3 linked regions of the Rattus norvegicus genome follow. The protein of the gene in region 1 interacts with the protein of each later gene in a pairwise test. Links are inferred from orthologs where the notes say so. Each region holds a gene or a part of one and is shown on either strand. Other genes may lie near its edges.

Region 1 (3,567 bases):
CTCCTGCTGTACCTTTTGCCCACAGCGCACTAGACACTTTTCTAAAGAGTCTTCTGCCTTTAGCAGCCCCAGGAGATGACACCACACTAGGTCTGTCCCATGTGAAAATCCTTCTTGATAAGGTAAACTGCTTGATTGTCAAGCAGTCAGGGTGGGATTTGGTATGTGAGTGTAAAATCCCTGAGTCTGTTTCCCTCCCCGAACAGCACATTGCCTTTGTTAGGAAGCCATGGACAGTTGTTAGAACTCACTCTGAATTGCACAGCAACTAGTCATAAGACAGCCTTCATAACGTAGCTGAGGCTTGGGCCAGAAATGAGAAGTATAAACCAGCCCTTCACACACCATCGGACAAGACGGACATACAGGGTCTGCTCTCTGGCAGTCGCCTGCTAATAAGAGAAAACCAAAAAGAATGAAGCAAACTTGAAAGATTGTTGAATGTTTTGGATTGTGGTGAGTGCTTGGTGTCAGCATGCCTAAAATGGCAGGCATCTGCTGTAGAGAAATGAGCCGGGCACATAGCCAAGTCAAGATCAGAGGTTTGTGCATAGCTGGGGCGGTAATGGGGCAGGCTAGAGCTAACAGGAATCTGCAGGTAGCCAAGGGCAGATGATTCCTTATAGGCAGAGTCAGAGCAGAAGAGACCTTATCCCAGCAGGATAGGATGCCTGTCCAGGGTTCCTGAGAACCCGGGACAACAGGATCAAATCTATAGAATAAAGCCATCCCAGAGTGCTATTTGTTTTAGAGTCTTCCCTCACAAGCACACATCAAATAAGTTTTGTGTAATTTTTGCTTGTTTTTTCCTGCTCTAAATGACACATTTTAAATGTGATTATCTTCTTCAGGAGGAGGAGCTGAGGAAAAGTGGAGAAGCGAAGTACTTTCACCTCAATGACGACCTGCACGTGCTCATTGAAGTGTTCGCGCCCCCAGCGGAAGCTTATGCCCGGATGGGGCATGCCTTGGAAGAGATTAAGAAGTTCCTGATCCCTGTTAGTACCACTCGCTGCTCAGTGACTTGTGTGTTAAGGCTGAGTCTTTAGCCCATTCCTTGATGATCAAGAGCTTCCTGTCTGGCCTACATCGTAGACCTCACAATATTCTCTATGAGAATTCCTCGGCATAATTCCCTGCTTCCATTTAAAACAATGGGATTTTAGACAGATTATATACTGCCACCAGGTTATAAGGCTGAAAAATTGGAAGATCAGAATCACTAATTCAGATTTGGGAGCTCCAATATAAATTCTTACGTGATTCTGAAAATGTCACATAAATTCCGTGCTCTTCCTTAGTCATTAATGTCCTCTATATGCCTGGTCTGTGCTTGGTGTGGGGCATGGACACCTAAATAAGAACATTTTCTGTCCCCTGGAGTAGTTTAGCAGGAAATCAAAACCTTAGTGGGTAGTTAAGTATAGTTTGCAGATTGGATATGCCTGGGACGTCAAGTATTGCCATGAAAGTAATGATTTTAAAGAAATATGTTCCTGCCTTCCTTCTGAAAGATCATTTAAGTATTTGTATGTTAGTGATAAAAAGAGACTTTTTTTTCCAAAAGGAAAAAAAAGTAATAATAAATAATAATAAACTATATATGTTGATTCTATAGACACTTACTATAGAAAAGCTGGCACATCTGCTAGGCAACTGTCCACAGTGAGACTGTCCTTAGACGTCCTCAACTATGCTGGGAGAGTAACATGTACACAATAGATTATGATCATATCTGCTATTAAGAAACCAAATATTATACTTATATTGAAGTTTATTTAAGTATGTTTTTTCACTTAAAAGGTCGTATCATGAGCTATATCCTTAGCCATGTCTAAGAGTAATGCTCACTGTGTGGCAGACATTTGTAAACCATTGATGACAGCCCCTGCCCTCTAGAGTTTGTAGTTTAACGGGCAGGCCAGTAGGAATCATATATTCACATAGGTGACTGAAACTGGGATTATGGCACATGGGGCAGATTCCTTCTTCCATACATAGCTACAGTGGAACTTTCCATCCCATGGCCTTTACAGTCCTCCGTGAGGGGGTAGGGCCTATTTTTCTAACCCATGATCTGGACTGGCTAAAGATATGTCTAAAGCAACGTTACTGGTGTTTCCTGCTGTCTCCTTATGTTTAATAGTATTCTTTCCTTTAAGAATCATTTTGCTTTTGTGATGGTATATGCAGCAATGTTTTTAAACTCTACTTGAGGGGCAGAAGATCTCAGTTACTTCAAGGCCAATCTGGCCTACATACCAAGTTCCAGGCTGGCCAGGGCTACATCCTGTAACGCTGTCTCAGAACAAAGCAAAAGAACCTCATAAGATTCTTTCCATTTAAGTCACTTGGTGATGCTTTTGCACATGGCATGAGCAAAAATATACATTTGAATTTTTCTGTTGTCCTGTTGAATTCCCTAATGGAAGTCTATCTGGGACTCTCAGTTCTGCCCCAGTGATTTACAGTAAGCCTCTCCCAATTGAGTTACATACTTTTCCGTCAAACTTTCAGTGAACTTTGAAGTCTGGGTATATAAATTGTCCAACTTTCTGTTCCTTTCCTCCCTTTCCTAGTTAAAAATTCTTAGTAAGTTGGTTCAGGCACTGTCCTGTTGTAAGTCACATTCTCTCCCCAGTCTCAGTGTGGTAGGCACCCTGGTCTGTTTTCCTGTCTCAGAGTTGTTTTGATTCCTTTGCATTTCCATGTTCACTTTAGTATCAGCTTCCGACTTCTACAATGTTCAACAAGGATTTTGCCAGATGTTTTTTGAATCTGTAGATGAGCTTGGAGTTAACGTTTAACCGGTGTCTTTTATTCTGTGAATATCAAGTACTTCTCATTCTCAAAATCAATAGCTCGACTATTTTGTGGTGGTGAATGCCTTTAATCCCAACCACTTGGGAGGCAGAAGCAAGAGGACCTCTGAGTTCAAGGCCAGCCCGGTCTATGTAGTGAGTTCTAGGAGAGCCAAGGCTATACAGAAAAACCCTGTCTCAAACAAATAAACAAACAAAAAAACAAGACAACAAAAAAAAAGTTTTTTCCATAGCCTGGCACTTACTTTGTAAAATATATTTCCAAATATTAACAAAAGCACTTATGTTTATTTTATGTGTATGAGTGTTTTGCCTGCGTGTGTATCTGTGTACCACAAATGTGGAGTGCCTATAGGAATCAGAAGAGGGTGTTGGATCCTCTGGAACTGCAGTTTGTGAACTTCTTTGTGAGTCTTGGGAATCAAACCCTGGTCCTTTGCAAGAATCAAAAATACTCTTAAAACTGCTGAGTCATTTCCAAATATTTGATATTTTCTGATACTGTTACCAGTGGACCATTTATTTAGAGGTACAATTGATTTTCTTCATATTGATTTTGCTCTGTCTTTTTGGGATATTTTTTACTGTTTTTACATCACAATAAAAAGAGATATTAGGAAGATTAGATAAAACCTAGTTTATTAGGATTCTTTGACATCAGTGTCATGCTGTTACTAAACACCCCTGGCTTCTGTATCAGGGTGCCTGTGATACTTTCCCTGGTGTCCTGTCTTCTTTGCCCTGC
Region 2 (4,202 bases), on another chromosome or scaffold:
GGAAGCAAGAGGAAAATGACCCGGGGAACATGGCAACAGAAGGAAGGGAAAGACACTGAAAAGAAGAAACCAACGCCAGCAATGGTAGTGCACACCAGGAGGCAGAGAGAGGAGATTCCCTGCAAGTCCCAGGCTAGCCTCAGTTCTGGAGTGATGAGACATAGGAGAAAGCAAAGAGCAGAGGGACCGAAGAAATGCAGAGTGAAAACACATCTCTTTAATGGCTCAACTCCCCAGAGCCAGTCCTAAACATTCATCTGACTGACAAGTATCTCTTGCCAGGTTAAGCCCCCGTCACAGAGGGAAATGTTATTTTGGCAATTCCCACCTTCCAGCAGCCAAACCAGGTCACCCTTCTGACTGCCACCAAAAGAAATCTCGTACAGTACAACCCCAGCAAAAGAGATTCTCCAGCCTTCTCTGGATTTAGACATACAATTAAACTCTCTCAAACAAACTTCAGTCTCTTGTGTGAAGTAATACCCCCCTTTCCTCACAAGCCTCGACTCCACCCAAACTGGGGTCCAGACTCTCCTGGGGAGAGATGGGGTGCTCTGAATGAACTCCACCCCCTGCTGTTCCTGCTCCTTTGGCAGACAGCAGCTTCCTAAAGGTGGGCTTAGAGCCAAACACAGCCGAGTGCTGCTCTTGACCAGTCCCACTGGTGTGCCACTCCAACCCAGATTTTTCTCAGCAAAAGGCCATGTTCTCAGCTGTTATCAGCCTGAGTCTCCTCTCTTCCTGTTCCCAACCCAATCACATGAGGAGGGGCACGGGAGCTGAGTGGATTCTCACAAACGGATAAACAGCATACAGCCTAGAGCTGCTCACCGCTGGGGTTAGCAGTACTCTCACAGCTTAAGCCAGAGATTCCAAAGTGTCCTAGGACAGTGGTGTCCCCGAGAAATGTGGTCCCCCTGAGGCTTTTTCCTTTTTGGTAGAAGACTATGGAGGTGTAGAAGCTGGGGAGAAACGTGTCAGGTGGTACAAAAGAGAGCTGGAAACCTTATTTTATGTCATCATCAAATTTCTGCCTCAATTTATGGACTCAGCTTATCTTGTCCCTATGTGGGTACCTTCTTGCCTAAGGAAAACTGCTACAGCAATAGTGAAGGCATCGCCAAGCACAGTGGGTGTGTGTGTTGGGGGTGGGGTCCCTTAGTCCCAATCCAAGTAGCCGTCTGTGCTCTTAAGATTGCCGACAATGGGCCACTAGGAGACATCCCAGGTGGAGTTAAACCTCTATCGATAGGCAGACTTGCTGAAAGCCTCTCACTGGTAGCAGGCTCTGCTCGCCTCTGAGTCCACCAGCCCATTCGCCACCGGCCAGGGCACTCGGTGCGCACACCCCCCAACCCTGCCCCTCCGCCTTGGCTAAGTCGACCCCACTCTTCCCGGAGCCGCGAGGATATCTGCGGCTACAGCCCAGAGCCAGTGCCGCAGCTCCTCCCGGTGGACGCCCCGGCCCCCGCAGTCCCCAGGGCAGAGTCCGGCCCCGTGCCCGCCCCTTGGGGTGGGTGCCCCGGACTCGCTCCCCTCCCTGATACCACTACCTGCGCCCGCTTGGGCGCCGCCTTTGTCCGGCTCTTCACCGCCGAGCGGGCCCCTTGGGCCCGACCTGACCCGGCCCCCGGCCCCAGAGGAGAGGCGGCGGGGCTGGCAGGGCACAACCAGGCCGGGCCTGGAGCACCGGGTCCCGCTGTCACTTAGAGGCGGTCTGACAACTTCGATTCCCCCCGCCCTACCTCGGACTCGGCCGCCGCCCCGCACGGTCCCCACAGGGCCTCCCGCGGCCCACACTCGCTGTTCGAACCGGTCCCCTTCCGTCTTCGGCGCCTCCCTTCCTTCAGCCCGACCCGATCCGGTCCACACTACCCCTCGCCCTGACGCGGCCCCCATCCCCACCCCCCCTCCGGCAATTGCCGGTCAGCTCCCAACCCTGGAGGGCGCCCCCCACCCCGAGAGGGCGCTCCCGCGGCGACGCCCCCAGCAGCGGCCCCTAGCCTCGGGGACCACGATGGGGGAGGGGGCTTGGCGGGGGCCTTGCCGCCCGCGCACTCGGAGGCGAGCCGGCTCCGCCGCGGCGAGGAAGCACCCCGCGTCCTCCCGCCCTCCGTAGCCCGGGACGCCCGCGCCGCCGCCCCCTGGCCAAGCTGCCACCCTGCGGCCGCCACCCACCCCGCCCCCGGTCTGCGAGGCGGGCGCCCCCCGGGGGCTGTCACCTCGAGGCGCGCAGTGCTCCCCGATGGCGGGACCGCAGCGCCGGACCCGGGGGAGGGAGGCGGCGCGCGCGGGCGGGCAGGCAGCCGCACCTGCTTCTTGTCGTCCGTCCGTCCCTTCCCGGGGCTGGCGGGGGCGGCGGCGCGGCGCGCTCGGCGGGGCGCGCTGACGGGCGGCCGGTCCTCTCCCTTTTGCTAGTCCGCCTACCTAGCTCGTTCGCTCGCTCGCTCGCTCGCTCTCGCTCGTTCGTCCTCCCCTTCCCCCTCCTGGATCCCAGCTCCTAGCTCACCGGGACGAGCGGCGCGGACGGCGCGGCTTTGGGCGCCCGCAGGCCCTGACCGGGCTGGAATCCGGCGGCTGGAACCCCCCGGGGGCGCTCAATTCCCGGGCTCCACGCTGCTGCGTCAGCGCCTCCTCCTGGGGGCCAGGGCCGGGCGGGCGGAGCGGGGGCCGCGGTCGGGCGGGGCCGTCGGGGGGGGGCGGGCGCGCCTGGCCGGGGCGGGCAGACGGCTAGGGCCGGACGGGCGGGGCAGGCGGCCGGACGGGCGAGCAGCGGGGGCCGGGCTCCGGGATCCGCTACGCCGCTCGCGGTTCCCCCACAAACTCCCCGAGAGCGGAGCCTCCGCCGCCCTCCTTCCTGCTTCCTCGTCCCCAGCCAATCAGCGGCGCGCCCCTCGGCAAGCTCCGCCAATCAGCCGCCCCGCCCTGCGCTGGCCCCGCCAGCCAATCCGGCCCTCGGCTCCCCCTCCCGGTCTCCAACCAATCAGAATCGTGGGTCGGTCGTCCCGACGCAGGGGGCAGCACGAGGCGGCCGGGGGAGGCGGTGCGGGGAGTGGTGGGGCCTGGGGGGAGGGGTACGGTGCCAAGGGTGGTGGCGGGGGATGATTTTCTTTGCCGGCTTCTAGTATTTTCTCCTGGTCTTTGGAGCCTGAGCCAGTATCCCATGGTGACCTGACCCTGAAGCCCCAGCACCTCACTGCAGACCCCCACCCTGAAAAATCTTAGCGCGCCCCCGCCCTGACCATTACCCTTCTACATCTCTCTTCCCTCCTAACCTCTCCAGCACCCGCTACAGTAAACTGAGGGCCGAGGGGGCACCCCACCCTCCTCAGGCTGCTGCCCCCATGGCAAAGCTTCGGGAAGACCAACCGAAAAATTCAAGCAAGAACAACACCCCCTTTCCTCTGAAAGGGCCCCAGACTCGCGCGAAAGGGCCCCGACTGCTAAGAAGCCCCTCCCGCCCTTGCCTCATCTTTCCGACTTCCCTGCTTGCCACGTCTCCTTTCCTTCCTAGCAAGGTCGGTCCTGGCTCCGTAACCCCTCACCCGCATCTCTTTTTCCTCTTTCTGCCCTTCACCTACCGCCCCCCACCCCAGCTCCCAATTCGCCCTCTTTCAGAAGCCAAGTGTGGAACCCTCATCCATTTCCAGCTGACAGCACAGCCTGGTCTGTGAGTCCTTGACACCCACACACCCTCTACCACCACCGCGGGGAACATCAGAGCTCTCCGGGGGAGAGGGAAAGGGGCGGGCAGCCCAACAGGCGCGGCTGGACACACTCCTTCGCGTCCCCAAGCCTGGGTAGAACCAGTGCAGACACTTACCTAGCTTCCCCATAGTCACCTTATGCTGTGGCTCCGTCTCTCACACCCACAGACGTGCTTTTCCAAGCCTGAGCACGCTCTCGGGGTCAGCTGGGTGGGTGGGCAAAGCAGGCTGAGGTCATACGAAGGGGTGGGAAGTCCCTGGGAGGTGCGGGAAGGGGCCGTGTCCTGGACACCTTGTAGCGTCAGAGCCAGCCCAGGACTTCACTTCAAGGAGTCGTAATGTGCACACAGTAGGTTCTTGAGAAATACCGAGTCCACCCCTGAACAAAGCCTCATTCCCAATTCAGGCGGGGGAGGGGCGCTTTGGGAGGTAAAGGAGCAGGAGCAGAAAGGGTAGTGTCAAGTCACCCGAGCCTGGGAGCAGCCGGGGAGGGGC
Region 3 (4,157 bases), on another chromosome or scaffold:
GGTCAGGGTGTGGGGTGAATGTGCACTCCTCTGTCACGTGGGTGGTACTGAATTGCAACCTTGTCTTTAAGCATTTACCTCCATCTCCCTGTTATGCCTAGTCAAATCTCAGACCAGGAAGGTCCTCTTCACAATGCTTCGTTCTTCCCAGAGTGCCAACCAAACCCAACAGAGGCACGGTGCCTCTGATGCCGTTCCTTCAGTCACAAGAAGGGACAAGTGAAGCCCCAGCAGCAGGGTCACTAAGTTTCTGACCCACAGCTGTGTGACCCGGAGTCTACACAGACTGGTTGGTGTCCAGCAAGACAGCACACGTGCCAAATCTATATCACTCCTGAAACTGAAGAAAACTCATCTGTCCTGTATCCCACCCACCCCATCCCCCATCTCTCCTTTGCAGCCCCTTCTCTGGCCTCTACCTTGTTGCTGTCCTGAAACTGCTGACTTGATCTTCTCTGGTAGGAGTGTGGACTCTGGCCGGGGCAGATGGTGAGGAGGCAGGAATGAGGTGGGCTAGGTTCCCTCATCCACAGGGAACAGGGGAATGTGAAGGATGTGAAGTTTGTTTTTTCAGGAAGGTAAGTCTCTTTGCATTAAAGGGCTGGCCTCTAACCATTTTTCAAATTAAAAAGTATTCTTTTCCTGATTTTTTTTGGGGGGGGGGCAGCTTTATACCATACACCGAGGTTGCGGTAGTTACTCCTTTAATTTGAAAAATCTCTGTATCATCTTTGCTTTGCAGGGACTTAAGTCAGCTGAGGCAGGGGAGAGAGGTGAAGAGGAAAGGCAAGGTCCAGTTCTGTCTGCCTGAAGGTCCTCCCAGACCCCTTGGCCTTGGCTCAGGCTCCTTCTGCTCCGACTCCAGCCTTCCAGAGGCTGCTGGCTTAGCATAAGAGAACCCATGCGTGTGTCGTGTGTTTGTAACCAGTGCACACAACAGTCTCTCAGCCCATAGCCAACTCCCAACAAAATTGCCCTTGGCCCAAATCCCACTGGGGCAGAAAAATGTCACTGGGTTAGTGGAATCAGGCTGAGCTTGTGACACACTGAAAAGTACCTTCCTGCCCTCTTTCCTTTTAGGGCCCCTCACTGGTAGATTCCCCAAGGGAGAGGGCTTTGGGGTGGTCCAGGCCACCTGCAGTGCTTGTCCTGAAACACGCTGGTGGGTGTGCAGGAAGCTGGCTGCTAACTCCACCAGCCCAAGATGCTCAGCCAGCCGTGAACCTGTACTGGCTTCTAGGGCTTCTGCCCCCCACCCCCAACTCTGTAAACACCCTAGCTCGTCTGTTTCCACCCAAGTCCACTGGCATGCCCAGCTTGATGGTGGTAGGAGGTAGGCAGCACAAGCTGGTGGTCTCTGGGCGCAAACGACCTTATCCTCTGCATAACCTGTCTGAGCCTCATGGTCCTTATCTGCTGGTCTAGGTGTTCATAGAACCCACACTCCTGGCTCTCTTGAAGATGAAACCAGCCAGCAAATGCCTAGCACAGCAGGTCCCAACATGAGTCAGAGCGCAGAGCAGTCTGTGGTCAGTCACCCACTTCCCTCCTGCATGAAGATACGGGGGCCCTAGCTGCTCTGAAAGATCTTTCTCAGTCCAGGGACAATCTATCAGATGCTACCTGTGCTGTTCAAGTAGACACACCCTTCCTGACTGTGTTCCTGCCCTGCTCCAGCCTGAAGCCGGGACAGGGTCAGACCACAGGGCTAGAGGGGCGACAACCTTCCTCAGACTCTAGACGAATGGAGTGTTAAAAAGGAACCTTCAGCGAGTGGCTGTTTCCTCTGTTGTTAGGATAACCAGCACATTCAGCAACATCTTCACGCTGGGCTGTGGGGGGAACCCATGGAGGGAGAGACTCAGATAGGGACATAGCTGAGTGCAAGGGGAGGGACAGAGACCTACTCACAGAGCAGCTCTGTGGCTTCCTGTGTCCTTGCAGCCTAGAATAAAACGCCTGCATGAGGAGTCCTTTCCTGATTAAATGCACCCCAGATTCAGCTCCCCCAAATAGAATTAGCTCCAAGACCAGAGCAGGGTGGAGGAAGGGAATCCCTTTTGTCAGTGTTGCCTTTCACTGAGTCCCCCAACCGACGTTTGAGCTGACCAAGATGCTTTCCAATGCGCCCTCCACCAGAGAGGCCCGAGTTTTTTCCTGGCTCAAAGTGAGGATCACTGCTCCTGCTACTGGAGCTCAGGGAGGCCCCTGGCACCACAGGTCATGGAGGGCTATAGTGTGGTGGAGGCCCGGAGTCATTCAGAGAGTCCTAGCACCACACAAGCCTGTCATGACACAGGGTCCCTGAACTCCAACGCCAAGGTCCAAAGTGGGCCTCAGATGCCACCCCTACCTCCACCCTCCCGACAGGATAACAGAGTACCAGTCAGGTCCCACCATCCTGTGACATAAAACTAACTCAAACCCCCATTATAGGGGTTCCCTTTTGGATCCACCCCTCGAGGGTCCCTGGATCTGACAGTTGGGAGGAAATGAGGGTACTCACAGCACGCAGAGCGCGTAGGCCCGGGGGATGGACTCGCTGGCACGCACAAGGAAGCTCCCGTCCTTGCCAGCTCTGGAAAGTAGCTCCTCTGCCTTGGATCGGGTGATGTTGCCATGGTTCCACCCAGGGACCATGGCAGGCATGGGTCTCCTGGGCTGGGTCAGCAGCCACTCCCAGGACGGACACTCCAGCAAAGCAGTTAAGGGCCCTAGGCTGAGACCTGCCGCCTGTGGCCTCTCAGAAGCTGCCTCTGCTGCTACTACCAGCTTAACTGACTGACTTCCTGTTTCAGGCGCTCAGCGAGGGAGAGGAAACTGAGCTGCAGAGAACTTCCTCATTATAGAAACCAAGTTGGGGAAGGGGGGCAATCATCTACCTTCCCACCCAGCCCAACACTGGCTGCCTGCTCCACCCTCTCACTCATTGGCTCTCCATTTCCCCTGAATGGGACTCAACCTCCAGAAGCGTCCATTATCAACAGACGTTCCACATGAGGGAAGCAAAGGCTCTTTTAGTGTCAGGTTTCATGGCTGACTCTTCTCAAGTCTGGCCTAGCATTTATGAATAGGCCAAAGGAATGGCGTTCAGAAACCTTTGCTAATGTCCACAAGGGCGGTTACAGTTTTCCTCAGCAATACCCAGCATACTCGAGATGACGAGCTTCAACTGTCAACTTGGCACAACCTAGGATTGCCCAGGAAGAGTCTCCATGAGGGAATGTCTGCATGGGGTTGGCCTGTGAATACGTCTGTAGGGGCTTGTCTTAATGAAGTTAATTGCTGTCAGAAGACCAAGCTACTGTGAGCAACACTATTCCCCAGCTAAAACAGGCTGGTCTGTCCCCTCTGGACTTCTGCTGGGCACTTGGGGGGACAAGGTCATGGAGGGGCTTACATGTCCCTGTGGTACAAGCTGGGCTCTTTAATGACTTATGTTAGTGAGTTCTGCACTGCAGAAGCCCAAATGACCAGTCATGCTATCCCCTCTGGGGTTAGACATGGCCATATTTGCTCACCCCTTAAAGGTCACCATTTAGTACTGTCTGAGTTCTGCAGGCTCTAAGGTAGCCACTTTCCCTTTGACCCCAAGCTGGGTGACCTCATTTCTCAAACCAAGCCCACCAAGGGAATGTAAGGCAGAAGTGAGAACTGATCACTCCTTCATCTGAACCTTGTCACGTTAGATGTGATAACAGACCTAAGCCAGACACACACACACACACACACACACACACACACACACACACACACACACACACACACACGTACTGGAGAGAGCCTGGTCGAGCTTCTTTTCACTCTCAGCCTCAGTTTTCTTTTCTTTAGACTGCAGCCGTATGATTCTGAAAGGAGCTCTGGTCTGTGGAGGACCTGGGAGCTATGCTGATGTCATCCAAGTGGGAGCCTGGGATTTGCAGGGCACAGCCGATGGGAAATCTGAGAGTGGGTACAGTACCTCAGTCAGGTCCTGAGCCAGAGGGAGGGGACATGGTTGCAACAAGAGCTCACGTCCACATCTGGGCTCCGAGGAAGTTAACTCTAAAATGGGCCTGTTATGGAGACCTCTCATGTTCACAGTACCCCATGCACTCCTCTTAGGAAACCTCTATCCAACACATGACTGCATGCATCGTTGAACCCTTCTTTCTTCT

Evidence for each region.
Region 2: the proteins of Khdrbs3 (region 1) and Bahd1 interact in binary tests that used the Homo sapiens proteins (3 or more experiments, as listed by UniProt). The two-hybrid records come from large-scale screens. The link is inferred for Rattus norvegicus from reciprocal best matches to the Homo sapiens genes KHDRBS3 and BAHD1.
Region 3: the proteins of Khdrbs3 (region 1) and Inpp5d interact in binary tests that used the Homo sapiens proteins (3 or more experiments, as listed by UniProt). The two-hybrid records come from large-scale screens. The link is inferred for Rattus norvegicus from reciprocal best matches to the Homo sapiens genes KHDRBS3 and INPP5D.

Annotation. Positions count from the first base shown.
Region 1 is NC_086025.1:102,806,780-102,810,346, forward strand, and holds part of Khdrbs3 (KH domain-containing, RNA-binding, signal transduction-associated protein 3), read left to right. Parts: intron 1-851; coding exon 852-998; intron 999-3,567. UniProt on the Homo sapiens protein: RNA-binding protein that plays a role in the regulation of alternative splicing and influences mRNA splice site selection and exon inclusion. Binds preferentially to the 5'-[AU]UAAA-3' motif in vitro.
Region 2 is NC_086021.1:126,345,028-126,349,229, reverse strand, and holds the start of Bahd1 (bromo adjacent homology domain-containing 1 protein), read right to left. Parts: upstream 2,827-4,202; 5' UTR 2,510-2,826; exon of another isoform or gene 2,428-2,509; intron 2,422-2,427; exon of another isoform or gene 2,313-2,421; intron 2,266-2,312; exon of another isoform or gene 2,223-2,265; intron 1-2,222.
Region 3 is NC_086027.1:95,734,215-95,738,371, reverse strand, and holds the start of Inpp5d (phosphatidylinositol 3,4,5-trisphosphate 5-phosphatase 1), read right to left. Parts: upstream 2,840-4,157; 5' UTR 2,650-2,839; coding exon 2,507-2,649; intron 1-2,506. UniProt on the Homo sapiens protein: Phosphatidylinositol (PtdIns) phosphatase that specifically hydrolyzes the 5-phosphate of phosphatidylinositol-3,4,5-trisphosphate (PtdIns(3,4,5)P3) to produce PtdIns(3,4)P2, thereby negatively regulating the PI3K (phosphoinositide 3-kinase) pathways.